4 linked regions of the Styela clava genome follow. The main gene of each other region encodes a partner of the protein of the gene in region 3 in a complex. Links are inferred from orthologs where the notes say so. Each region holds a gene or a part of one and is shown on either strand. Other genes may lie near its edges. The genes, in order: protein AAR2 homolog, thioredoxin-like protein 4A, pre-mRNA-processing-splicing factor 8 and ubiquitin carboxyl-terminal hydrolase 39-like.

Region 1 (7,185 bases), on a different chromosome or scaffold from region 3:
AACTTCTGGTGTTTCAGCTTGAAGCTTTTCAACACCCGCAAGTGAGGTAACAACAACAGCAGGTTGGCAGTAGATGGTTTTATCCAACTGATTTTTAGGACCATGGATGCACAGGTCTAATAATTTGAATCCCAAAATTTCCGAAGCAACATCAAACATATCTTTGACATTTGGATATTTCAAAAGATTTTTCACCATTCCAACATACTGACTTCCTTGCCCAGGAAACAAAAGTGTCGAAGTGTTCTCGAGTTTATCAGGAATTTTCTTTGAACCTCCTGTACCTCCAAATAAATCATTTACAAGCTGTTCTTCCATCAACTTATCGTTGTTTAATTCTCCTTCTACAGCCACATTGTAGTTGCGATGGCAGAAAAAAAAACGCCTGGTCCACAATCTTGGTCTCAGAGCAAGACTCATAGTTACTCTAAAAATGTTCCTTTACTTACATTTTGAATTCAATAAAACATTTTATTTTCTCCACAATTAGTGTAGTAGTCTATATCAATTAGTATATCTAGATGGCAAAAATTGAAGAAAAATAATGTTTTTGCTTGGAAGCTGTTTGTAGGTGAAATATCCAATTATTTTGAATGGAGAATTAAGCATGATATAAGAAAAATGACATGAAACATCACAGACTATTTTAATTTGTAAGTGTGATACAACAGATGCATCACTGAGTTTCAATTTTTAATTGCCGCAATGTCAACGAGGGCAGGAAGAGATGGGGGCATTACAATTTTGTAGCCAGTTTGCTCCTCCATTCCTAGCTTTCCTTACGATGTGGAATCATTCAGTATAAACATATTTACAAATTGTAGCAAATATTTTGTTTAACAATAGTATTTTATTTTATGAAATAGGTTTGTTTTGAATCGACCTGACTCACTATGTAATTTTTGATCCCGATTGAGCTACTTTAAAATCTTAAATTTAAACAAAATTTTATGACCCATTTATATGAAAAAAGTGTAATTTCAGTTGAAATCCATCAACATAATTATATTCTTATATTTCTACAACCACAGGCGCCCAATCATCTGGCTCACTTTTAAAATTCCACTTAAATTTTTTAGTCAAATATTTTTGAAACTGTTTGCCACGTTTTTGTAGACTTGCATCAATTCCCTCAGTTTGCAGATTACTAAAAAGTATAGTTAAAGTTGAAACTAAAAAGTTATTAGAGCTAACAACATCAACAAAAAAATCCTTTGGTATTTCATTGAGTTGATGATAAAATACTGTAAGTAAACTCTCGTACAATTTTTGATGTTCTTTCAGCAAGTCATCACAAGAACATAGGACATTTACAAGGGATTTCCATTGTTCAAAAGCATCAAGCACCTGCCCTAAAACAAAACATACAAATGCAAACTGCAGTTCACCAAGCAAGTCTTCAGGTTGGGAAGAGTTTTTTATTATTTGTCCTAAAATGTATGATGAATCCACACTATGCTTTGAAATTTCATGTGGAGTTGCGTTTGGGGGATACCATTGTTTAGGTATCATTGAAAATTTTATCTCAGTCCCAGGTTTAGGTTTTAGTATAGGCAGTCCATCCTCGTCAACTGCACTTGATCTTGGCACTTTGACACTCTCTTCCGACATCTCTCTCCCACTTGGTGAAACATTGCTTTCTGAAATTAACTCGGGAACAGACTGAATTTTTCCGTTTTCGGGTTGAAGTTTAACCATAACATCATTATTAATCCAGTCTGTCAGAGACACCCATTTTTCTAAGGTGTCATATGGATAAGGCGCCAAATTTTTATCCAAGTTTTTCAGATTTTCTCTGAGTGAATTCATCTCATCAACAGACTTGTGAGAGAATTGGATTTCCTCATTATTAACATCCCAATGGCTAATAAAAATTTCCCTCTGTTTGAAAAAATGGAAGAATCCAGACCTTGGAGATGAATGGCCACCATGTTTTCCATTTGAACTATAAAAAATAAAGTGGAGGCCAGGGGGAATCATTTTAACACCTTTGAATTTGGGTCCGGTAATCCAAGAATTCCAATCCATTCCAAATTCTGTACCTTTCGGCATATCAACAAGAATTAAAAATGCACCTTCTTCAAACAGTTTTTTGGCCAAACCTTGGTCCATGATCAGGAGGTAGCACTATGATAATACTATTAAGTCTGAAAAAAAAATTGTATTTTTGGTTACCTTCAGGCAAATATATATGAACAATAACGATAATATATTTGCATCGGCGGTAAGGCGCATTATGCAGTTGTGTGATAAGGCTATATGTGAGAGGATTGCTGGACTCCTCGGCTATGAAGCGTAGTTCAGTCTGTATACCAGTATAAAAAATATCTAGATGGGAAAACAAAACATCCAGAAATTAAAAATAAACATAAGAAGAGAGTACAAATAGTTCACTATATTACATCATAGTAGAAGATCATTTAAAGTTGGTGTTGCTGCTACAGTTGCTTTAGAGGGTTTTTATATGTTACTGCTGTTGTACATGTTTTTTTAAACCGGAACAGGTTCCCTATGTGACATGCAACATTGTTTATTCGGAATTATGGTAGGTTGAATTTAATGATGACTTGTATTGCATTCAGTGAATCTGTCTTCCTGCTGTTTCTTAGTTCAGTAGTTTGTTTTTTCCAGTTTATTGCACTTAATATTTTTTAACACCAGCATTTAAATGACGTAGTAACATTGCTGGCGTACATTGCTGTTGCCGTGATATTGTTCCACTTTCTGATTCTACTAGATTGAAGTTTTGTAGCTTACTTTTTGCCCTGCCAATAATGTTTTTTGAGATAGCTATTTTTCTGACAGCTCACAGTCAGGGTTGCCATATTGGCTTTTTTAACGCCAAATTTGCCATTTTTCAAACGCGTTTGGCGTCAGAATTTCCGTTTGGTTTTTCGGCGTTTTTCAAGTCATTCTAGTTTCTATTATTAAAATCATATGAAGTAGCCTACAATATTTCAGTATACAATAGCCTATTACTGTATTACACGTACTTAGCTACTTAACATTAGGATTTCCTGGAGCATCGATTTCCTTGTTTGTTACATTATTAATGCATTAACTCTTAACCATACCCAATGAGAAATAATTGCAGTTTCTGCAGCTGCTCAGACATATGTTAAAGCAGGGTTGTAAACATTGCCTTGTTATTATAGTTTTGCGTGTTATTTGTCAGTTTTACGTTCCGTTTCCAAAAAATAGTTGTATAACTTAATTTTATTATGCCTGATATGGTTTATGTAAGCTTTAGTTTATTTCTGCAATTGCAGTAACGATGTGATTAACTTTGCTAAAATTACTGAATTAGATATCATGGGTTCACTCGTGAGCGGCATTTTTTAATAAAATTGATGGTTTATAAATTTTAAAAGTGAACAAATTTTCAATAGTAAAGTACGATATAGGGAGAATTTTTTAAGGTACCGGTATATCACAAGTTTAAGTAGAAACATGTAGGTATATTACATACTGACAGACTGAAGCAGCACCCTGTATTGTATATATTGAATGGTAAAATGATGCTGTCCGCTTGATATTTATTTTACTTTCTACAGTTCTATAGGAACTTTACTTTCTATTTATTTGCCTCACTGAATGAACTGATAGCTCTACATCACCATCACTCCATCAGTATGTTGTCAAGGGCTTAAAATCTGACAAATCATGGGGCTTTTGTACTTAGTAGATATGTTGGCTTTTTCAAATTTTGATTTGGCTTTTTTTGATCGCTGGGGTCTGGCAACCCTGCTCACAGTATGTATGTCGTATGTTGCTGACAGAAAACAAAGACACGCTTTTTAAAACAGTCAAATTTTCAGGCAGTCTCTGTTTCAGCAGTTTATGTGAATTACCAGTATATATTTAAACCTATAAAAGTGATTTTATAAAAGGAAACTTCAGAAGTGGGGCTAATGATCCAAAATAAAGAATTAGTCGCGGTCCGAATCGAATACCCGAAAGGTCCGGATTCGGACCGCGGTCCGCCAGTTGAGTAGCCCTGGTCTATGCCATTTCGACAGCCAAACAAAACGGAAACGTACCGGTACCGGTATAATCCGACTTGCAACTGACAGGAGCCAAATGGACGTTTTTGTTTTTTTGCCGTCCAGTAAACAAAGTCACGTGACCACCGTATTGTTCTGTTGGCTGTACGTATAGTATAATTAGACAACGAAATAGATCTTCAGTTATATTCCACTGTTTCAAAAGATCCGAAACGTCGCGCAATGTGGATATCATCTATTACCGGCAGCAGTACTGCTTGGTGTCAAGTCCAGAAGTCATCTCGCTTGTGTTTCAATGTTTGCGGACAGCACTTCATTGATGGTGAGTGATAATGTGCCGTTATCAATTTCCTCTAATATTCTCCCTCCCTCCCTAAAAAGTTCCCTCATTTCAATGGAAAGCAGATGACAAACTACTGTTATTGGTAGGCGTAGGCCTAGGCTACCGGTACCGGTACCGTACTTGCTGACTTGACTTGTGTAAGAAATCAATCATCAATTGCCATAAGGTATTGTTTCCCTAGTTATAGTTAGCAAGTAATCTATTGCTAAGTGTGAAGGTTGAATAGATAACTAAAGTTTAACACCAGTGGTCATGTAAAAAATAACCAGAATTCAATTGAATTCGCCATCTAGGAATAAGGTACGCTCGCCACCGCATCCCTGATCACCCTGGTAGTTTCACAGGTTCCAATCCCATGCGGGGATAATTATGTGCGAGAGGATTGCAGCTCTACCACCACACACGACCGCTGATCGGTTACGACCATCTAAGTCCATGCTTCTGAAAACAAATAACTGGCTAACTAATCCCAACATAGAATGGTAATCGTACGAGAGACTGTGGTTCGCTATATGATTTAGTTGTTGCACCTGCAATCCTCCCCTCCCAGATAAATCCTATCTTAAAGGTGCTTGTACAACTGACCCAAAATGTCTTTTTATTGTCATTGGTAAAAAAGATATGCTACCCGGATATGCTAATCAAGTTCATTTACGACTAGTGTTTGTGGTGGGATATGGACATAAATTTCACACCACTTGATCGTTAGATTTTATGAAAACTCTACAATTATTACAAAGCTAGTGCAGGATCATAATATCGAATGAATCTGTATCCATTTTCTTACAGATATGGGTGCGACCGTGGAATAGATGGATGGCAAAGTATAAGTTGCAACAAGACCACAGTGGCACAAGACCTCAGCTTGCGTGACTTGATAATACATCCTCAGTATTCCTTTATTGATGCTTATTGTAATGACAAAGTAACTTGTGGTTACTGTGGATTGGTGGAGATAAAGTGTCCATTGTGCTTGAACGAAAGCAACTTCAATACGACCCTATCAAGGAATTTTTTTTTGTTTCGGTGGGTCTGGTAGTGAAGGTTTCAGTCTAATTGGACACCGATACTACAACCAAATACAGTTGCCAATGAAACTTAGCGAGGCGTAATATTGCGACTTTGTGATCTGAAAGAAAATTCTGATGTTAAAGAATATTATGAGATTTGACTTAGAGTGTAAACTTTTATATGAGAGGGGTGTAACCCAAGCTAATTTGCAAATGGTATTCATGGTACCAAATGTATCAAACACTTTACAGTAATTATAAATTATATTTGAAAAATAAAGCACATCAAAAATGTACTTATTATTTGGTTTCTGCGAGACTAACTACTTATCCTTCTTCTATGCTTTTGTGCCGGTGGATCCGTATGCATATATTGCAAGGATGCTGTAGCAAGAGTAGAGATAACAATCCTAAGTGATTCAAGAGTCTTGCTGCACACTAACACAAATATATTTCTGTAACGTTTCGTCTGACCAAGGTCAGACTTCTTCAGACATACATAATTCAACTGAATTATGTATGTCTGAAGAAGTCTGACCTTGGTCAGACGAAACGTTACAGAAATATATTTGTGTTAGTGTGCAGCAAGACTCTTGAATCACTTAGGATCAAAAATGTATTTTTAAAAAACAATTGGTTTTATCTGCAGATACCAGGTTTATATTGAGATTGACCATTTCAATGCTAAATTTTTCTTAGTCAAAAGGCACACTTGATTTGCAAAGATTTGTGAATGCGCACAGTACACCAATTTGTCTAATGTTTTGATTCCATAGGCAGGAGGTTGTGGATCAGTGCTGCTCAGGATGGGATATTTTTGCTTATAAATGCATATTACGTGTTTCACATAAATCCATCGTGCTCAGATTCGACTGTTTTCAAGGTCTGAAGGCTTCAACTGCTTAATTTCATCGGTACACAAGAAAATTTTCAGTGTGGCATGCATGGGCTAGTTGGAGTCACTAACATCAAGATATCTATAAGCAAGGATAAGATAACCTGGAAGTAACATTCCATAATTTAGAGTAAAAAATGTATCTGCCTCCACAGCCCTTTCAAATGGAAGATATGGTGCCTTGGGGGTAATTTCTATCAAATATTTCACAGTGTTAGGGTTTTAGTGAAAATGGGTATAGGCGGCTTTTTTTAAAGTGTGGTAGGTCTATTCGAAAGACACATTAAATGTTTATGCTAACAACTGCAAAGTGATATTGCAACGCATACAAGTTAACAGAATTTGTTGAAATGGTCCTGCCTTTTGCCTTTCTCCTCTTTTTCTAACTATTCTTCTCTGGGGATGGCGAAAATTCAAATATTGATGGCTTTTATAAGCTGCTGATATTGGGTCATTTTTCTTTTATCCTGAAAAGAAATTAAACATCAGATCAGTAATAGAGTACCTGCTAACTAACGAAACAATCAGACAACACCATTCTGGCCATTGATAAAGAGTTCTTTCAATTAAAACGCAAATATGCCTACCAATGTCGGTAGTTTTTAGGATAAGATTTATCTGAGGGGGGGGGGGTTGGGGGGATTGCAAGATGCAACATCGTACGATTACCATTCTATGTCGGGATTAGTTAGCCAGTTAATTGTTTTCAGGAACATGTACTTGATGGTGGGGGATGTCGTAATCGACCAGCGGTCGTGTGAACCACCCTCAGTGGGAGAAGAGCTGCAATCCTCTCGCACATAACTATCCTTACATGGGATTGGAACCTGTGAAACTACCAGGGTGATCAGAGATGCGGTGGCGAGCGTATTCCTAGATGGCAAATTCAATTGAATTCTGGTTATTTTTTGCATGAGCACTGGCGTTAACTTT
Region 2 (7,710 bases), on a different chromosome or scaffold from region 3:
GTGTCATTTATTTTTGCTTTATTCAATTTTATTCCGAGTATGTTTCTAATTTAATTGAGACCTCTAGATTCTAGAAGTATGTGCACCAAGATGGCGCACAACCTGAACGTTTTATGTGTACCAGGTTAAGGTTCAGGTTGTGCGCCATCTTGGTGCACATACTTCTAGAGATCTCAATTAAATTCAAAGAAACATACTCGGGATTAAATTAAACCAAGCACAAATAAATTACACTAGCGCCTTTAATTGAATACTTTCATATCTGCAACAATAAACCCCTAACCAATGTAGTTCAAATATACTGACCATAGGGCGTTTACCCCAGCTGAGAACCCGAGTATAATACACGATAGCAAATTTATATCCCCAAACGTAATATCCATTTTCTATCAACGAATATTTGACAGGCAGTCTATAGTACCTGCTGTGCCTCTAGCAAATCCTTTTCAGCTGGTCTCATCACTTTATGCCTCATATTTACACAAATATCAAATACTTGTCATCGGGCGTGGAATTGTTCGCGCCAAACAACGCTACTGCTGTCATCTACGTTTACACCATTCTTTTGTCATAGACATTTTATTGAATAGCGTTATGACCTAAACAATTGAGTTAATCAGTCTTTTGTTCAAGAACGTGTTTCATTTCATATTCGATAATTAAATATTGAGGTGGGCGTCCGCGTTATAATTTAGTCCAGCCTCGATTAATTAGATTGGGAAATGCACAAAAAGAAACGCTCCAGAAGCGTGTGTACCAATATGAAGATAATTAATTTTGTTCGCCTATTTTACATCAAGTTGTGTGAAGGGGCTGAAACCCATGGGTGGAGGTATATTCACTTTGCTAACACAGACAGTCCCCGAACTCGTAATAGAACTAAAGTAAGGAAAATCGGAATAAAAGTATGATCTAACCCTAACCTGGTACACACACTACGGGAGTACCTCCAAAAGAAACGCTATAAACCCCACCACACTTTATACACTAGTTAAATATTTCACTTTTGAAAAAGCCGAGTAGAATGATTATGTTGCATGGTTTCAATGAGGCTATGTTTCGCAAGTCTCATATAAACAGACAGTCAGCAGTAACGACTTGTTGCTTTGTGTTATTGGACATGAAGTGGATCTATGGATTGTTTTGTCGTTGTTACTATTCTTTTCCTTGTTATTGTGACAATTTCGATTTTCTCTTCAACTACTGGACCGATTGCTTTGAAATTTTCAGTGGTCAAAGATTGTTGTTGTCACTAAAACTCTATTACTTTTATTATTTAAAAAATGTCTGTGGGCTTTATGAATTTTTGTGTGATAACGCCATCAAAATTAAAACATTTTGTGGCGGTTCCGCTTTCGCGATCTGGTCATCACTGATCAGTCGAAGATGGAAAGCCTCTGTCCGGAACTGTGGAAGATTTGATTTTGGCCTCACTCTCTTGTTCTCTTTTAACGCCCATGGTCGCTCGAAAGTTCCCATTCTACGGTTCGAAAATTCCCCTACAACGGTTTTTAAAATAATTGCCAGGAATTCACCAGTAACTGAAAGATCTGTATTTTTCAGCAGCTGTTGATTTTTCTGTTGCGCAAATTATAAAACTTTTAGAAGTCGTAATAATTGCATTCAAAGTCAACGCGCGACTAGATTAATTTACAAAAGCTTCTCGACTACAATCCCGAAAAATACAATTTATTTGAGTAGAATGAAAATTTGATTGAACATACATCGGGTTTTTTAATCATGATCGTGAATAAATTTATTGCGCAAATTTTAATACGGTTCGTCTGAAATAGACAATCTATAAATGAGCACATTGCGCGCGCAATTAACTGTTTTTCATCTTTACGTGATATGTCGTTTCCGGTGGTAAACTGCGCATAATGCGTATCGTGAGCACGCGAAATTTTTGCATTGTCTAAAATAGCGTATAGGTATAAAAATTATTTTTAAATGTCGCGGGTAGCACAAAACAAAAGTTATGATCATTTTTCTCTTTTTGTTTTTAGTGTGCAAGATATCGTTTCTGTTGTTAAATGAGCATAACCCACAACGCCGCGCAAATTGAATTTTATTGGGGTCAAGTTTGTTTGTCTTTGACAGTCTTTATAGCAGAGCCCACTACCGAACTTCCACTATAAATCCACGAAAAATTAAAATGTTATTTTTTTCCAATCGCGTTGAAAGTCCAATGAAGCAGATGGTTAAGTACAGTTCCATCATCTTGTTAAGATCCGGATACATTTCAGTCAAGACTCACGGAACAGTCATAACCCTTTTAATTTAGTTGCTGTTAGCTGAAACGCGTAGGATAAGCGTACTATTGTTTATCCATTGTCTATCTTTTATTTCTGGTCAATATGTGAGATGTTGAGTAATTAGTTATACGACAATTCTTTTGCATTCTTTGTTTCGATTTTTTTTTTAAATATTTATCACGGTGGAGATGAAAACCGATGGAACGACTTGATCGTGTGACGAGTCAGGATACGAATCTAGGCCCGGTTTTTAAACCATTTTTCCGTATTTATGGTGCCTACGTGAACTTTTTTGCTTCTTTCGAGGAATTCTTCGATCGTCGAGTATTACAAGGCAAAACATTTGCATTACCAGACATTAGTGCTTTCTGTGGTTTCCCAATGTCTAATAATTTATTTTTACATAGTGTACAAAACTGCAAAACGTTTCATTTAAAAATTCAAATAAATATCATCATATTAACGGACTGTAATGTTATGAAGCGTTTGGTAATATTAAAATAACCATCGAACTAATCTTGAATCATTTTTACAAAGCCCCGGCCACTAATGCAAAAATGTGAGATTTGAGTAAATCCCCCGCAACGTGTGAATAATATGATATGGAGGTTGGGGTCAGAATTGATTCGAATATCTAAATTTCCTGGGTAATTTGCATTCCTAACCCAAACCCCCAGCGGATAATTACTAATTTCCTTATTTTAATCGTTGGTGGGGGTGATTTTTGTTGGGGTCTTTGTACAAAAGAAACCCAATTTTAACTTCTTTTGCCATAAAGATTGCGGTATCATTGGTATTTCGTCCATTAAATATTCAAAGAAACGGGCGACCAGGAGCTTTGGAGGTATGGTGGTCAGTGAATGCGCGCTGGCGCGGGACGCAGTTCAAGTCAACACGGTCAAGAAAATAGATAGGCGGTGTCGATTACTTTGTGGACTTCATTTAGGACGATCTTAACAATTACGATACAACGCTTCATTTTGTCTGGTAATTTGTCTAAAGTTGATGCTGACTGCTTGTTGAATAACTGAATCCGATAGTTAGAACAGCCTGAGATAAAACGGTAGGCAAAAACTCGGCTTCGAAAGTTCGATTTGTGTTGTTTTAATTCATGCCACGAGGATGAAATAAAATGATTGATCGTAAACTAGTGGTTAGTGCCCATGATTTTGTCGCAAAAGACATTAACTGCGCCTACACTACGGCTATTTCCAAAGAACTGGAAAGAACGAGAAAACCAAGATAGGCCCGGTCGAAAAGCGGCAGCTGGCGATCAAATTGAAATGCGACTAGATTACTTATGGTTAATGGAAATTCCTTCATAGTGAAAGCGGATTTTTTTTATAATCTCAGTCATGGTATACACGTACGAAGAATATTTCATTGAGAAGGCAACATATAAAAGATATGACGAAAAATATACCTAAAAATTATGACAACTTCCATGGCGAAGCAGGCAATTGCCAAACTTGACGAGTCACAATAGTGTTCGTTTTTTAATATAAGTTGTGGATTCAATTATACCAAATTTGTATAATCTCATTATTAAACATTGTGAAATAGTTTTTTTTATGATGTGTCTTAAATTTCACGAGTGGCTGATTCTGTACTCAGCATTGCCATATTCTAGCAATATTTTAATTACTGAAAAAACGGGTGAATGATTAACCATAAATTGTGTAATAGTATTTCCCTTTGTTTTATGGAAACCAAGATATCGGCTTGAACTAACATATTTCATTCTGAAAGCAACGCATAAAAAGTTATGTCGAAAATTAATCATGGAATAATATGGCAATAGTCGGAGCGAAAAATCAGTTATTGGCCGAATTTTACATGTCCCTATATGTGAACATTTATTCGAATACAAATAAAACTCAAACTTTGGTAGAAAAATACGTTAAAAAACGATGTGCCTAGAAGAATACTTGATTTCACAAGTTCTGGTTTTAGGATGACACCACAGAGAATAATGACACCAAAGAGAAAATACTGCGCTCGCCCGTATGAAACAAATGGCGACCCCGAGTGACGATATTGGATGGACTAAAAAATTCAGAACGTTTTAGATACGTCGTAACTTCTGCCTGTTATCTTTTGTGTACCGGTAAGGAAACTAATACTGGTGAACTGGTATGACTGTATGATAATTGATGAAATGTCTGCCTACTCTGCAATTTGTAATTTTAATCATTTTTTAGCTAGACAAGATTCTTGGTGCGATATTCTCTCTCATTTTGATAGGGTGTGGTTTGTATTTGGTTACCGGTAGTGCAAACTGCAGTACCGGTACGGTACTGTCATTGTTAAAAATTTTGATAAATTAAATTGGCATTATTCAATAGGCAGATATATCATGTTTTGCAGAACACAGATTCTATAATACAGGAGTAGGTACCGGTATCAGATTTGAAGCTTGAGACATTCTATGCGTTTCCGTTATTCCTTTTTTTAGGCAATGCATATTTTTGTTTCTTCCTAGGTTTTTCTAGTTTAATATCAATAAAAAGCAGAGCAAATATAAAGAAATTCATCATTTTTGTGTCTCTGAACTGCATAGTTAAATTTTCTGGACCTCCAAGCGTAAAAAACTTCGAGCAATATGTCTTATATGCTTCCTCATTTAACAAATGGTTGGCAAGTAGACCAGGCAATCTTGAGTGAACAAGAGAGAGTTGTTGTCATTAGATTCGGGCATGATTGGGATCCAGCCTGCATGAAGATGGATGAAACGTTATACAGCATCGCTGACAAAGTCAAAAACTTCGCCGTTTGTTATTTAGTGGATATCACAAAAGTACCGGACTTCAACAAAATGTATGAATTGTACGACCCTTGTACGACTATGTTTTTCTATAGAAATAAACACATTATGATTGATTTGGGAACCGGTAATAATAATAAAATTAATTGGCCTATGGAAGATAAACGAGAAATGATCGACATTTTGGAAACTGTTTACAGAGGAGCAAGGAAAGGCAGAGGTCTTGTCGTTTCTCCTAAAGATTATTCAACAAAATACAGATATTAATTTCTTTTAAATTGTTTCAAAGCGAGCTCAAGAATACTTATATGTGAACGGAATATATTAAAAAATAGCTTTGTTTTAATATGTGTGAGGGACTACACCAAAATCTATTTCTACATATTTCACAAAAGTATGGTTTTCTACCAGTGTCTCTTAGAGTAGGCTGCCACAAATTGCCTAATTTTGACAAATTATTTTCACATGGGACAGGAGTATTGTGTTTTGCCAAAGCATTCATGTTTTTTTAAGGCACTTTATTAAGGTACATGTTCTATTATTTTTTTTAATTTTTTTCCGCGCAAGTATTGTTTATTCCCAATAGCAAAGGGCGTAAAATCAGTCAAACTTACAGTAATCTGCGACGATAAGTTTGGCCTTTTGCCAGGTATTGAAAATGTCAAGAGTTGTCAAGACAAACTGTCAATATTATATCTGTTGTTCAAACATTATGTTTGTGTTCACCCCAGAAAAGGGTTCCAAATTTCGTTTTCAAATTTATTTAATTGATGTCTCTGGTATCTCTAAGATTCTACAAAAATAAACTGTGGCAAAATGTCTCAATAATATGTATATGAAATGTATGTTCAAAAAACTTAATTTTAAGAATGCAAATGAAGTAAAATCACATACCAGGTGAATGAATGAATATTTCTGCAAAGATATGTTTGGCATTTTGTGATTATTCTCATATTTCGGATTGTCGAAGTTGTCAGTATTAAAAAATCTGTCATCATGAATGTTCATATTTGAATTACTTGTAACTAAGTGATCGTCTATTCTGACAGATTTCAATATAATATTTATGATATTAAGGTAAATTCATCCATATTCAGAAACGTGGGCAGTGGGATAAACTATAAAAATGTTTATTAGTTTCAATTCTTTATTAGCAATTTGAATTGATTATGAAATAGCCATTCAGAATTTAAATTGGAGAATATTTTTAAGATAACTACTACCTACTCTGAACATATAAATTCTGAATTCATCGAATATTCACTTTTACTTAGTATAATTTAAAATGTGGCATCATCCTTGTTTCATCAGAAAGGTTTTGGGCGGTATATTTGATTACTGACTAGTTTATTTTCTGTTTCTGCTGAATTTCTGTGCTTATGAAACCCAATTTTTTCATATGTTTATATTTTAAATTTATGTAGAAACATTAGGTAAAGGCATAGGTTTCTGACTCTGGAATGACTCCTAGGGTAACAAACCGGACAGGGTAACAAACCGGTCGAAATGCCTAATCTCGAAAAAGTTATTTATTTGCATATGCTAATTAAGAACCTCACAGTAGAATTCGACTGAGTCAATGTGTGAATTATGTATGATGCGATTAAAATTTATTTCTTGTTTTGAATATGATGTCCATGCTATTTTTTTGGTTGGATATAAAGTTTATATATTGTCTCATTCAACACTGATATTTTGTTGAACACACACAACTCACTCTTACCACCAGTGTTGGAAGAAAGTCCCAAAACTTCGAGTTGCAGGTCATGGGTCATCTGAGTCGATCACTGAGCTATGTTTCACTGATGGTTAGTTGGAAGTTTGGGACGAATCATTTATTTCGAATGACTTTAATCACTGTTCAGGTGAAAGCTGACCTCTATGACCGTATGGGCATATCACTCCCTCCTGTCCATACCAAAACAATTTTATTGCTGTTGCTATCTTATTGATGACTGTATTTTTTGGACAAAATAATATTCTCTCTCTCGCTGTTATATGGTGACTTGAAACAGAACTGTGCCAATTGGGCCTCTATTTTTCGATTGACTAAATAATAAATCTCTCGCTCTTATAGGGTGACTCGAGTCAATGAATCGAGCTACTACAATACTGCTCTTTTCTATTTATGCATCATCCACTTGCAATTTTGTAAAATAAATACCACTTTACACCAGTCTATGTACTTGACATTGATGTTTTTTGTGATTTTTGTAACAAGTGGTCATTTAGTGGTGTCTGAAAATGTGGTGTTCCATTTTGCTACACCTATCTCACTGTCATGACTTAGGGTTAAGTGAGCAAATGAAATTCTGAGTGAGAACATATGTAATACTTAGGCAAAGCGTTAGAACAGTGGTTCAGAATTTGTCACATCTCGCGCCCCACCTCAAAAAATAGCTAGCTAACAATAAGCTACAAATAACAGATAGTAAGGCGAAAGTATGTTTTATTCAAAAAATACTTGGATGGAACTTAAATAATGAAATAAATGGAAAGTTTTGAAATTTAAATATACAAAATAAGGCGGGCAAGATCAAATCTAAGTAATATTTTTATTTGGCTTCACGTCCTCTCAAAAAATTGTCTACGTCCTCCTTGTGTGGCGCGCCCCACCGTTTGAGAATCACTGAGATAGAGTGTTTATATGCAGTGATATTCATACAATTAATATTGATAATTAATACAAGT
Region 3 (7,157 bases):
ATGTGCATATGGATCAATTTGCTATAGTCTTGCTGTTGTTGTTTGGGTAATTTTTATTGTTCATATATTTGACACCACTCTATTTTATGTTTCTAGATGATGGCGGATAAGAAAGCTTATGATGGACCAATTCTAGGCTGTGCTGAAGCTGGATCTACCATGTCAGCTACCATAAACAACTTGCAGAAAAACCAGGACTATTCAGTTTGGATTCAAGTTAAAAGAGATGGCCAATTTTTGGCCAATCTGTTAGGGGATAAAATCCCTAAATCCCGCCCATGAATTGTATGAACTTTCTGTCGAAATTGATGTTGTGCATATTAATAAAGTATATTCAAAACTAGAATATTTTGTGCTATCGATTGGGTTTCTACAAGACCAACTACTTTTCCGTTTTCTTTGCTTTTGCTTTTTCTAGAATATTTTTCTTGAAAATTTAAGGCAATAAACATCATATCTAAAAAGTCAAATGTGTAGGCTACATTTCTTGCGCTACCGCTCGAGTGGCAGAATGAGTTTTATCAATTTGTCAACCAAAAAATACAGTCATCAATAAAATAGCAACCGCAATAAAATTGTTTTGTTATGGTCAGGAGGGAGCGATACGATCATACATGGAGGTCAGCATCCACCATATTCTTTGATGTGAATAAAATTCACACAGGAAGATGACTACTAACAAAACATGAACTAGTACAATAGTAATAATACGACAATGTCTTGATTTGGTTATTAAGGAAATACTAACTCAGAAAAAGATTATGCGACTGTCAGGTCGCTTAGTTTTTAAATTTACTCCGCGTGGGTTCGCAGGTTGGAATCCCTTGGAATAATTATGTGCGAAAGGATTTCTCGTCGCCATAGGGTGGTTAAGGTAACCGATTTTTTTGTATTCTCTAAGAGAGAGGGAAAATGAGGTGTTTAGCCAGAAAACAGAAAAACAATCACTGCAACAATAAAAATATACAACTTACCCCGTAATTTAAGAGTTTTGAATCAGATAAGTTAGTTATTATCACGCTTGCTACAGCATTCTTGCATTATATGCATACGGATCCACCGACACAAAAGCATAGAAGAGGGATAAGTAGTTAGTTTCGCAGAAACCAAATCATACCCCCTAAACTAAATGTACATAAAAAGTAATTTTAGTTAGTTTGCAAAGATCAACAATCTGTACATTAGTTTATTTTTATTTGATGCCTCATTGGCTATTATATTCTCCGGAAAAATTTTATATTTATCTTTCTTCCGACATTCAGTACACTACACGATGAACAAGAGAGCTATGCTCAAATATATGGACATAAAATTTTGATGACGTCATAGCGAAAATTTTTTTTAACTTTAACCACTGAAAATTTCAAAGCAATTGGTCCAGTATACGAAGAGAAAAGCGATTTATTCAAAACGTGTTGCTTGAGACAAATAATAACAATAACAACAAAATTTTGAAACGATCGTTATGTCCACTACGTGTCCAAAAGTGAATGAAAATATACCACGTGACCTAACTTTGACACGCGCGAGTGCATTTGCACATTTTATAAAACGTACGTCTTGCGTTTCAGCGTCGGCGTGTTGATTGATTCAGTTTTTACGCGTTTTCATGTTTTACTTCCCCAGAATCTGAGAATAGAACAGTATTATTTCGATGGGAGACAGGCTAGACTAATTGTATTTTTATCCTTTGCGGTAGAAGTTATGGTGACCGTACATTTGAACCCATAAGAATATCCGCGGGTTCAATCTATATGCGTCTGCTAAAACTGTAAAACCCATTGGGATGGTTAGTATGGGTTCAAATATCCAGAATATCCGCAAAAAAAAATCCCTGATGCAATAGTATGCAGGTGCAATTGTCGTGGGTTTAAATGTACGGGTACCAGAAGTTATAAGTAGGCTATATTCAACCGTGTGCAATGTCAGAATGTAGGACAATAGGATGTTAAATTTTCCGATTTTATTTTGGGAAAAACAAGAAAACGTGAACATTCACCTATCCACTGTAGACTACATACAGACATAGGCCATAATTATACGGTATCTTATGAATTTAACAAAGTATCTCATCATAATCTTAAATCACATTAAAAACAGCAATATCAGAATATTGTATTTTGAAATTCAAACTAGCCTACACAGCTACAGGACTACGGTACCCGTACCTAAACTACAAAACAAAATTCGGGTCTGGTATAGTTTAGTAGTCTATCACATGTCTGACTTCTAGTTGGCCTGGCTCCACAATTATTGCATATGCCATTTCTAACCCCCACCTGACTGCGTCATCCAAAAATTACGGGTCTAATATAGTTTAGTACCACAAGTACTTCTGGTTGACCAGACTGGAATCCATGGCAGGTGCACGCCCGAGGGCGCTAGCGCTCCGCGAAAATGCACGCGAGCGAATTCAATTTTGCACGCCGAAAATTTGCAATTGCTCACCAATGTAAATCGGTTTAAATTGTTTTAAAATCAATAATCCAGTAATATAAAGATGCCAAAATAGTATAACTCCACAATTGTCGACTAATACTAGCTTGCAAAATTTGGTCTGATCGAAAAATGCGAAGCAAAAAAGACCATATCGTGTTGAATGATAGGAATCCCGTGAGAATAGTTATGGACGAAAAGATCGCCTCCGCACCAACGCTGGCCAGGTACGGCTCTGATTTAGCGTATTTTTCATACAATAATTTTACACGAATGTACTGAACAGTACCGGTATTTAAAGTCGAACAAACACTCTCAAAATTAGTGACGGAGTATAAAAATACTGTTTGGGGTCAATGGTCAAACGTCCAATTTTGCTCTAATTTGATGTATTTTTATTAATTCTACGTAAAAACACTCCCAAAATTAATGACAAAGTATGTCCATTTTTCTCTGGTTCAACGTATTTTTTATTCAATAATTTTACGCGGATGTACTGAACACTACCGGTATCCAATATCGCACAAACACTCTCAAAATTAGCGACAAACTGTAGAAAAAATGTTTGGGGTTAAAGGTCAAACGTCCATTTTTGCTCTGATTCAACGTATTTTTTATCCGATACCGGACGGTGATGTATCGAGAGGTATCTAATGTCAAAGTCAGTTGCACGCGGGCGCAGTTGTTTTGCACGCCGTGAGCTATAATTGCAGAGCCATTATATAATGGCTCTGATAATTGCACGCCAGGGATTCTTATTTGCACGCAGGAATTTCTGATTGCACGCCCGATTTCTCGTTCAAAAAGGCCATGAAAACCAGACTGGGTAGTCTATCACATGTCTGACTTCTAGTTGGCCTGGCTCCACAATTATTGCATATGCCATTTCTAACCCCCACCTGACCGCGTCATCCAAAAATTACGGGTCTAATATAGTTTAGTACCACAAGTACTTCTGGTTGACGTAGCATAACGAATTTTGCATATGTTCTTCCTAACCCCTACCTGACTATGTCTTCTAAAACTTTATTCCCAACGACGTCACAATCACATCATACAGTCATAGATCTTGCCAAAGTATAGCTACGACTGTACGATCACTCGAAAGGGCATCTGCATCGACGATAACGAACTCACTAACACCCGTGTTCTCTCGCATATCGGGATTGCTGGAGGTCTTTATTACGCCACTGTGGCGTCGTAGTGACGTAACTTTTGGTGACGTAGTCAGGCAGTACAGCACACAATCCAAATTCCAAGAATTACCCTCCATTTGGCTCAATGAAACAAACACTCTATGTGTCTCACAAATGAGGGGCATCTGGGACCACGTCGGATGCTTCATATCGCGCCATGCTTATCTCAATAATAATTAATCGCAGCCGTCACATGACCAAAATTGCCGTTTTTTGCTAAAAACGTTCGAATAAAATTTTTTTCCTTCGGTAAATCGGATTATTTTTTCCCAAGGATAACAATGATGACGTTACTAGATTGTGCTTTTTTGTAGTATTTTGCGCAAATTCATTATACTGTTTTATTATCGATATTGAGGTACAACAATGTCCAGACGTCTCCCAAAGGAGGTGTGTCTGATCATCTGTAAAATGGGATTGAGGATTGACATATGCAAAAATTGTCGATTCAGGTCAACTAGAAGTGCATGTGGTACTAAACTATACCAGACCCTTATGGCCCTTGCTTCCCAGTACTTCTAATAACTTCTACAATTTTTGTATTAGAAAGCTGTAAGTATAAAAGTTTATGGAAACTTGCTCGTAGGTAGCTAGTTTCACTCGGGCTGTCACAAGTTTGTAGAGCGTTGCTCACAACTTGAACCAGCATGGCGTTTCAATATGGAATGCAACCTCCACCAGGTATGCCACCACCTGGTATGCCACCTGGAATATCACAACCTCCCCCTCCTGCTGGTGGACTCAGTGAGGAACGATTACAGGTTGGTTGTGTTTTTACTTGAATTTTTTATGATTTTTACTGAAGGGAATACTTCAGTTATGCAAGATGAAGTTTCATGATCAATATATTGTAACATGACCACTATGACTGAGCATTTTAGCGTATTTGATGATTTCAAAATCGATTCAATTTTTTTTTTTGGAGGTGAATTTTGGATACCTACTTAATACAACGACTGAGGTATAATACAACGACTTAATTGCATGTTATATTTTTATTGTAATGGAAGATATAGAACCCAACACTCGGTCAGTCCTGCAGTCACATACAATAGGGAACATGTTTCATCAATAACTCAATAGGAAGAATAAAGTCATATGTCAGAATTACATTTCGAAAACATGGCTTCAATAAAAAAATTGAGCAATTCACTAAAATAACAAGATGACGGAGTTTCGAAATTTTCGTCTGAACCGATTCGAATAAATTAATATTCGTTTAGACTCGAATATTCAATTCAAAATGCCCATCCCTTATATCCAGGTTGTTATAAGTATTTTGTTGGAACAAAATTTGGAATTGAAAAATCTGTAAAAAAATTATTGATGAGAGTGTAATGAACAGTGCAACCCCAAACAAAGTAGATTCCAATTTATAATAGTTTCTTACCCGGTTATCTGCCTGTGCAAAGCCTTGTTTGTAGCATAAACAATAATATATCATATAAAAAATAATGTCTGTTTATTGGTTCTAGGAAAAAGCTAGAAAATGGCAACAATTGCAATCAAAACGTTACGCAGAGAAAAGAAAGTTTGGATTTGTCGACCCACAAAAGGAAGACATGCCACCAGAACATGTCAGGAAAATTGTGAAGGATCATGGAGATATGACAAACAGGAAATTTCGCCATGATAAAAGAGTTTATTTGGGGTAAAAATATTTGTTTTTATACTGATGGTTTTAATATATAAGTTGCCAGTCAGTGTTAATTGAAAGTGAATGTTTCTTTCTTTATTTTTCAATTTTTCGTCTTGTAATTATAAAATTCAATTTATGTTTGTTGCACTGGAATGTACTCGATACCTGATATGTAAAAATACTTTGTTTTGAAAATTACGGTATTTAAAATACTGCATTCTTTAATTTTTGCCATCTCTGATTCAGAATATAACTTTTTGATGGTTCCAGCGTATTATATTCTCATAGTCTGAAGAATTCAGTTTCTTATTAAATAACTTATACATTTTCTGATAATTTTTTTCTTATCAATCCAGGGCTCTGAAGTACATGCCTCATGCTGTTCTAAAACTACTTGAGAACATGCCAATGCCTTGGGAACAGATTCGGGATGTTTCCGTCATTTATCACATCACTGGAGCTATTACTTTTGTCAATGAGATTCCATGGGTCATTGAGCCAGCTTATATCGCTCAATGGGGGTAAGATTGTGATATGAAAATTAAATAAAACAAGTTTGTTTAGTGGAAATTGTTATATTAATACAGAAAAAAAACTTATTTATAAATATGTATAATGAGGAAAATGCATTAGGTATCTGAAATATTAGTTTATTTTAAAATAAGCAATAGATATTTTGTTATTACCAGTATACTTTATGCAGGAGTTATTAAATTAGTAATTGTTGTCAATATTAGCGTTGTACTGTGCCTCCCTCCAAAAGAAAAAAAAACGGAACCCAGCTGATAGGGAACATATTCTCGAGAGGCCGTAACTTTTTTGAAAAGCTTTCCAGATTACTAAAACTTTTGGGTACAATCATACTCCGAACTTAGGTGCTGAATAAATATTCTTCATTCTCGTAGGATTTGTTAAAAAAAATTATGAGTTCTATTTTTTGGGCCAATCTATATGTGTGTGAAAATTACTGATGCGTGATGCCTAAATAATTACTTGATTATTATTTTTTTCATTGAAACCAATTCTTTTTACCAGTAATAATAAGTGTGATCAGCTGTGTAGTTATCGGTTTCAATAACTTTATGGATTGAAACATTTGGATTGCCTCAATGTTAAATGTATTTTAGACTTTAGACAGTTTGAATGAAGTAAGCTTATCAAGCAAGCAAAATAAGTGGTGCTTTGCTCGAATATAAACATTTTTCAAGCTTCATATAAATTTTGCATTTAGACTGGTCATAGTAATAAAAAATATTGTCGGGTTACACTGCGGTTCCCAAACTTTTTGTTCGTGTGGCGGCAACTTATCAGGGAAAAAACTCACGGCGCACTCACATGTGAAAAAAGAAAGTGCTTTAAAATAAAACTCAATTTTGTGATCGTCAATATTCAATCATATTTTAGTTATGTTTGATATAATTCTTTTAATTTTTGCAGTGCACTAGGCAACTTGTGCACCTATTGGGAACCACTGTGGTAACACATAATCAGTGTATTATACCGTCTAACTATTTTTCTGTATCTTCTAGTTCAATGTGGATTATGATGCGTCGCGAAAAACGTGATCGTCGTCATTTCAAGAGGATGAGATTTCCTCCTTTTGATGATGAGGAACCTCCTCTTGATTACGCAGATAACGTGCTGGATGTTGATCCTCTTGAAGCTATCCAGCTTGAACTGGATCCGGAAGAAGATTCCTCTGTTTCTGAGTGGTTTTATGATAATAAACCATTGCAGGATGAACCCAAGTAAGGATATTTATATAGTAGAATTTCTTTACCTAAAACTGAAGTATTTTTTCCATTTTAGGGATGTCTGTATACGAATATCTTGATACTCTGAAATTCAGTCTTACAATCAAATTTTATGAGGGAAATCATGATAAT
Region 4 (7,482 bases), on a different chromosome or scaffold from region 3:
CATCGCTTGAAACTGCGTCTTTATCAGCAGCTCTTTTTCTCATTGCCATCAATTTTTCTCTCCTTTTACGAGCTTGCTCTTCTAATGAACCAACGTCAGCCATTTTGTAAGTCGTATCCTGTCACCGAAGCTGTATAGGGAAGATTTAAATAATACTTTAGTATGTAGTACTGGGTCTACAAAAAAATTCAATACAATTATTACCAAATCAAAATCTAACATCAAGTGACAGCTAGAAATTTCAAAAATAAGAGCAGTATATTGAATATCCAAAAAAGCAGATTTATGCAAATTTTTTGAAAGTTTTTAAAATGGAAAGCAAACAAATGGTAAATTTTGGATAGACAATCATGTAGCCCATTGAACAGATCGTGAGTAAACAGTACATGCCATGTATAATAAAGAGATGACTATTATATTAAACAAGATTTCTGATTCGATCAATCTATTTGCTAATCGCAATTTTGCCACGTATTCTACACACTTATATATCGAGGTTGCAAACTCTTATCATGGAGAGCGTGACTACAGGCTCAGAAAACAAAAGATAATTTATATCAACCAATTCTTGATTACTTGTGATAATTATAAAGGGTGTGGTATGAAGCAAGCCAATGAGAAAATTTGTATAAATATACATATCACTGTCACCAATACCTCAAATTGGATTTCATTACCTCATTCATTTATAAGTGTTACTTAAGTTGAGGGCGCTCCAGAATTGTGTGTACCAAATAGAGGTAACTAATTTAGTTCGCCTACTTTACATCAAGTTGTGTAAAGGGATGGAAGCCTATGGGCAGGGGGTATATTAAGCCTAACCCTAATCTGGTACACACACTACGGGAGTACCGAGTTGAGTATGCCATATGAAATTAGTGCTAAAGTAGCCATCATTAGAAAGTTGAATATTAAACAAAAGCATGAGCAAGATTGAACAGTTAGCTTCCAATAATAATATTTTACAAACAAAAAACAGGTCTGGTTTATTCCATCACCTATAAGCAACTGGTCAGTTAAAGTTCCATTCAAATGTGGGTTTAGTTTACACACTATTTTATCATAGCTTTCCAAGTTGCGGAGGGGCACACTAAGGATTAGTATTTAAATTGGCCAGTCAAAGACTGTAACACTCTTTTAAAACTAAAAATTTTTTTCATGCCAATTTTGCACATCATCAATTCCCCATATAGCAATTCGACATAGCAAAGATCTAATAATTCCGAAGACTAGTAGCCAAATTGGCTAATATGAAATGCATTTGCTAAATAATCAAGCAATAATGAATGTTATTTATATTTCCATTTTGACTCCATCCGATTTTGCTTTGGCTTGCATTTCATTAGAAAATGCATATTCTTTTCCACCTTTTCTTTGGGCCCATATTTGGATGTAAGCTTCAGAGAGAGTAATCATTTGTGGCAAAATGTCGCTCACATGAAGATCTTGCATCTCATACCATTGGTTAGATCCTTGGTGGAGAATATAAACACGATATGTGCCTTTCCCAATGTTCGGGTCGCCATCATGCACAATATTTGCAACCAGATCATAACATGTGTCTTTAATATCTGCATCAGCAGCGACAAATTCCGCGAGATCGATATTTTTGACGGGAAAATTAACAATTGTAGGATTTTTCTCTATGAAGAATAGATTTTTCGTGAATCGTTTGATGTAGAAAATTAAAAACGGAGGGAGACGTGTAAGCTCAAACTTTTTCATGGTGAAATCTCGTTTTCCTTTGTATTCTTTCTCAGTGAGGCCGTTAAATTTTGCAAGAAGGTTAAATAACGGAACTTGTGGGATAATATTTTGTTCCTGTTCGTCCTTGTAGAGAGGGGCAGCAAGTAGGTCTAATGTGAGATATAAAAACGGTGATTTTTGCATTGTTTCTTGGTATTCTGGCAGATCTAACAGTTTCACTTTTTCTTCTTCTGGTAGTTCAGGGTTAGGAACTTTTCTTGAATAAATTTTCATTTCTCCCTGGAAAGTTTCAGTGATGATGCTGGAACTCTTCTTCTTGGTTCCATTTAGGGCAACATGTAAAGAATTCAAAAACCAAGCAAGTAATTCAAGAGGATCACCTTGTACAGTGATTTGGAATCGTTTACGAGAGCAGAGCACAATGCTCTGCAGCATCTCGTGTGGTGACACATGGGCTTTGAAATTACGAGGATTCCATAATTTACGAATCAATTCTCCAAATCTTTGAGTTAAAAGAATCATGATGTCACCAGGTGGCCGTTTAATATGAGAGTAATTCTCTTCTCTCAAAAAATAATCCCTCAATGGAGGGATGTTTGACAACGCTTGTAAAACAACGTTACAATAATCATTCGCTTTGATGTTATTGAGCCCGACTATTCCTGGCAAGTACGTTGTGCTATCGTAAGCTCTACTAAGTTTGGAACTTGTGCTTAATTCAGCGATATGATTCTTTTTAAAAGTAGGGTTAAGAACATAAGTAATATCTTCAAGTGATGAATCTAAAATTTCATAGTTATCAGGGAGGCAGTAAAATTTCAGAGTCCTCAGATTCAAAAATACATGATGATTTATCTCAACACTGTGAGTGTAGGCATGAGATTTTTTGCCCCTTCCTTGAAAATATTTTCCGCAAACGAGACAAGCATAAACGTTCAAATGAGAGAGAGACACTGAGCACAATTTTTCGAAATCAAAATCTAAAACACTGCGTTTAATTGTATCTAAATACGGGCAGCTTCGACTTCTATCAATCTTTGGTTCGTCATCATACCTGTATTCTTCTTCAGACGAATATTCTTCAACCAAAGCTAATATTTTTTGTTCTGGAGCTTCTTGTTTAATTTCACTGTCTGAAATTTTTCGTTTTTTTGCGGGTTCAGAGTTCTCTTCCGAATCCACTTCGTTTTTAATACTTTTTATATCCATGATTAGACCTTCAAAATATACAGATTGTAGAAAAATACAACGCTCAGCGAATAATTTTCCCCACAAAATGCAGCATGAACGAAAATTGAACGTCGGTGTCACGTGTCAAAAAAACTACGCTTGGCTGATTCCGATAGGAAATAAGTTCAAATCTTACGAAAATGATATATTTTAAAAGAATTCAACAACACAACTTCATTATCAAATATTTATAATTCTAAACAACAAAACTTGATGCTAAAAAAACACTCAAATCTTTCGAACTTGAGCACGAAACCACATTAATATTAAAAGATGTTTTCTGGTTAACTCGGGAATTCCCCTTGTAGTAAACTTTTTAAAATGCACTCCTTATTTTCGAATATTTTTGGAAGGAAAAGATGCAAAGGCAAGGTTATTTTTCTAATATTTGTATCAAAAGATAGTAGTTCTAACTAAAATGAACATTGGAAGATTGATGTTGAAACGCAGCTACCCGCAGATAAAGTCGTTACGCAGTATTTTGATACCAGGACACGGTATTGGGATGTTGCAGTAGGATAGGATAGGATTTACATATTTATCCCGGGGGAGAGGAAAGCCGATAAGACGGCTTATCCATATGGCGAACCACGGCCTCTCGTCCGGTTACCATTCCAAGTCGGGTATGGGATTAGATTTACTGTATTGTTTGTTTTTGGAAGCATGGACTTGGTGGTGGAGGAAGCCGTAACCGACCAGCGGTTACGTGAACCACCCAACGACGGCGAGGAGTCCAGCAATCCTCTCGCACATAACCATCCCTGCATGGGATTCGAACCTGCGAACCCACGCAGAGTAGTTAGAGGTGCGGTGGCGAGCGTATTCCTAACGCTTAGCCCGTTGAGCCACACCGCCGCGCCGATTACTCAACAATAATTATCCTAGATATGTGTGAAAAATCAGCCACATAGAATTTCCGCAATTGGGTTGAATAGATATTTTCAATGAGTAATAAGAATTATATTTAAATGTAGAATGAATTAAATGCTCAGGAACATGAAATATGTCTAAATGTGATGCGAAAATTGTATTAAGAAATGCAATACCTACCTACCTTACGCAATACATATGTAATTTTATAGAACGCTTTTGATATGTCTGTATGTGTAAATAATACAAAATTGTTTTGAACTCATATCGTACTAAAGGGATATCGACTTTTTCTAATTCTGATTCCTATTTGTACTTTTACTAGGTTTAAATTGGAAATATGTGATTGGGACACCTTATTGGTTTGCTTCTCATTGGAATAATTACAGTAAATAGGAAAATCATATCCTAATCTAATCTTCAATTTATATTATTTTTATCATGTATTTTTCTAATCATCTTTTCCATGTATGTACTGGTAATCAAACCAAAAGCTGTGTGCTATGTGGTTGAGCCATGTTACAGTGTTATCATCTTCACTCTTCTAACTGTCTAAATGTAAATGAAAATCTTTTCTATCATATATGTCTTTGTTTTTTATGGCCAGTGATTCACTCTGTTATCTTGAGTACTACACTTTCAAATCCCATGATGCTGTGCATATTGCTTGTGGCGGGCCATGGTGCCAAGTTGGAAGAAGACATTAAAAATGATACAACTGGAAAATACAGCAATTTGATTGGTATTCCTAAAGCTTTGTTACCGGGAGTGGACGGGAAACTAATTATGGATTACTGGTGGAAGGTGGTCAATGTACGACAGATATTTAGTGAGGTTTATTTGGTTACAAATGCGGATAAATACAAGCATTTTGAAAGATGGGCAACAGCAAATGATTTTCCTGTTGAAAATATAGTTAATGACGGTTCTACGACACCAGATACAAAGCTCGGAGCTGTTGGTGATTTTGAATTGGTTTTGAGGAATAAAAACGTTGATGATGATGTCATGGTTGTCGCTGGCGATATGCTTTTTGAAGACCAGAATTTCGATATTTCACAAGTAGTGAGATATTTTCACTACAAAGCTGGCGACCTTGCAATTTATTATGAAATGGAACAAAATGAAGCTACAACTTCTCGTGGAATTGTTGAAGTTGATGTAACAACGAATAAAATTTTGCATTTTCATGAAAAACCAGAGCCTGGAGTCACTAATTCACGTTTGGCAAGTGTTGTCTTTTACTGTCTCAGAAAATCTACTTTGGCTACGGTTTCGTCATACCTGCAAGAATACCCAGGGAATGGCACTCGTACATTTGGCAAGTATATGTCATGGCTTATCAATGATAAAAAATACGATGTTTATGGCATGAAATTACCGACTCGTTTTCAACTGATTGGACAAGTGTCACTCACTGATTATCAAGCAAGACTCGATTATTTTAGCGACTTAAAACGACAGCATGCTCGTAAGAGACTTATTACAAGTCGTGCTTATGCTAGGATCGGTTTGATGGGAAATCCGAGCGACGGTTTTTATGGGAAAACAATTTCACTTTCGATATCAAACTTTTGGGCTGATGTTACTATTATGGAGAGTGAAAAACTAGTTTTGACCCCCCACCCTTTAAATGACCCTACGACCTTTGGAAGTTTGCAGGATTTACATGGAATCAGCAGAAAAGAGGGATATCTTGGAGGTTTGAGGCTTCTACAGGCGACATGCAAAAAATTTTACGAGTACTGCAATGACAAAGGGATTGCGTTGTATAAAAAGAATTTCACTTTGAGTTATGACACGAACATTCCCAGACAAGTTGGGCTGGCAGGAAGTAGTGCAATTGTCACAGCAACGTTGAAATGTTTAATGCAATTCTATAACCTCAGTGAAACAGACCTGCCTAAACCGGTTCGGGCCAGTTTTATCCTGAATGTGGAAACTGATGAATTGTTCATCAATGCTGGATTACAAGATCGTGTTGTACAAGTCTACGAAGGTTTGATGTACATGGATTTCAGCAAAGATCTTTTAGAAGGTCGTGGATATGGTAATTACGAGCGTTTACCAGCTAACGACCTTCCTCACATATGGGTTGCGTATTTATCTGATCCAAGTGATTCTGGAAAGATTCATAGCAATGTACGACAACGTTATGATGCCGGTGATACAGAAGTTTGTGAAGCGATGCAGAAATTTGCGGAATACACAGAGAAAGCAAAATCTGCAATTTTAGAATCAGATTGGAGGAAAGTAGCTGAACTAATGAACGCAAATTTCGATTTACGACAACAAATCTACACAGAGAGTTGCCTCGGTGAAGCAAATTTGAAGATGATACAACTCGGACGAGAGTACGGCTCTTCCACTAAGTTTCCAGGAAGCGGGGGTGCAGTGATAGGAATGTGTTTTGATTTAAACAAGTTATCGGACGTCAAACAAGCAATGCAGTCACAAGGTTTTGTTGTCTGTGAAGTTGTTCCCAATCTCGGCAATCAAGCGGAATGAATGGCAGCCCAATATCCCCTTCTATGGAGGAGGCTTTGAAATGGCAGTTTGAACCAAATATAACAATCTCTAGGCTACACTCAACTATATCGATAATCAAGTCTCTCTGTGTGTAGTCTCTGTAATCAAGTGGTGTTATCAATTCAAAATCTGTGAGCTTTTTTTTTTATTAGATGTATACTCTAAATAAAACACCACCCAAGCATATGCTTTTTTGTACAAACCTATCTTTTAATTAATTTATAATAATCCGGTTTTGACAGTGGTCATGAGTTGACCTAGTTTTATCATCAAGTGTTCTTTTTTCTATATATCTTATGGAAGTATTGATTCGAAAAACTTAAAATTGAATCATCTGTCAATATTTTTGATTGTGAATATTTTTCATTAAGTAATTGCGTTTTCAAAATAGTTTTAATTGTTGTTACTAATGTTGCAGAAGAGTTTTTCACAATATCACACACTTACATGTAATATCCCTGTGATTTAGATATTATAATATTAATATGCGGTGGCCTAGTGGTTAAAGCGACATAACTGTCTTTGCATTGCAGGTTATACATCTTCGGTTCAAATCCCATGTCTTCCCAAGATGTAATAAATTGGATAGACAATGCTGAATCAGAAATATTTTGGTCTTTCCGAAAATATTTGCTCCATACTTTAGATATCAGTGGAAGCTTTGTGCATTGCCTTGTTCAGAGCAAAATGCATGGATAAGTATCATAAATGATTGTAGCCATTTTTTTTAAAGATGAAAGTTAATAAGTGCCATCTGTAATCAGCATAATTTTTTAATTCATACCCAATTGTAGCATACGGTATTTCTGTAATTGTATTTCAATACCCACATACAAGTGTCTCTTTGTATATTATATTTGACTTTTATAATTTGGTAATCAACATTTAAGCTGTTGCTTACATGAAAGGATATAAGCCATGAACCTGCAATCTTTGTGTTAATATAAATGTATATTCAACAAATGCCAATAACTAAAGTATACAATTAGTCCCATAACACACCAACAAAATTAACTTTATTAATAATTATAATTCCACTCAAGTTTCTTACCATCTCTGTGATGATAGCATAGTTTATTACTATAAATGTATATTCAACAAAATAATTACAATAACTAAACTATATAGTTAGTCTTATACCATATC

What was found.
Region 1: pre-mRNA-processing-splicing factor 8 (region 3) and protein AAR2 homolog share a complex: the UniProt entries of both Homo sapiens proteins name them as parts of the U5 snRNP complex. The link is inferred for Styela clava from reciprocal best matches to the Homo sapiens genes PRPF8 and AAR2.
Region 2: pre-mRNA-processing-splicing factor 8 (region 3) and thioredoxin-like protein 4A share a complex: the UniProt entries of both Homo sapiens proteins name them as parts of the U4/U6-U5 tri-snRNP complex. The link is inferred for Styela clava from reciprocal best matches to the Homo sapiens genes PRPF8 and TXNL4A.
Region 4: pre-mRNA-processing-splicing factor 8 (region 3) and ubiquitin carboxyl-terminal hydrolase 39-like share a complex: the UniProt entries of both Homo sapiens proteins name them as parts of the U4/U6-U5 tri-snRNP complex. The link is inferred for Styela clava from reciprocal best matches to the Homo sapiens genes PRPF8 and USP39.

Annotation. Positions count from the first base shown.
Region 1 is NC_135254.1:12,007,888-12,015,072, forward strand, and holds protein AAR2 homolog, read right to left. Parts: upstream 2,178-7,185; 5' UTR 2,113-2,177; coding exon 1,012-2,112; 3' UTR 517-1,011; downstream 1-516. Other genes in the region: malonyl-CoA-acyl carrier protein transacylase, mitochondrial-like, read right to left, coding at 1-420. UniProt on the Homo sapiens protein: Component of the U5 snRNP complex that is required for spliceosome assembly and for pre-mRNA splicing.
Region 2 is NC_135251.1:10,684,754-10,692,463, forward strand, and holds thioredoxin-like protein 4A, read left to right. Parts: upstream 1-4,731; 5' UTR 4,732-4,857; coding exon 4,858-5,286; 3' UTR 5,287-7,209; downstream 7,210-7,710. UniProt on the Homo sapiens protein: Plays a role in pre-mRNA splicing as component of the U5 snRNP and U4/U6-U5 tri-snRNP complexes that are involved in spliceosome assembly, and as component of the precatalytic spliceosome (spliceosome B complex).
Region 3 is NC_135250.1:4,435,934-4,443,090, forward strand, and holds the start of pre-mRNA-processing-splicing factor 8, read left to right. Parts: upstream 1-4,155; 5' UTR 4,156-4,279; coding exon 4,280-4,393; intron 4,394-5,107; coding exon 5,108-5,283; intron 5,284-5,627; coding exon 5,628-5,792; intron 5,793-6,800; coding exon 6,801-7,019; intron 7,020-7,157. Other genes in the region: uncharacterized protein LOC144428064, read left to right, coding at 97-282. UniProt on the Homo sapiens protein: Plays a role in pre-mRNA splicing as core component of precatalytic, catalytic and postcatalytic spliceosomal complexes, both of the predominant U2-type spliceosome and the minor U12-type spliceosome.
Region 4 is NC_135257.1:18,732,635-18,740,116, forward strand, and holds ubiquitin carboxyl-terminal hydrolase 39-like, read right to left. Parts: upstream 3,025-7,482; 5' UTR 2,917-3,024; coding exon 1,294-2,916; 3' UTR 176-1,293; downstream 1-175. Other genes in the region: coiled-coil domain-containing protein 12-like, read right to left, coding at 1-103; uncharacterized protein LOC120345593, read left to right, coding at 4,324-6,315.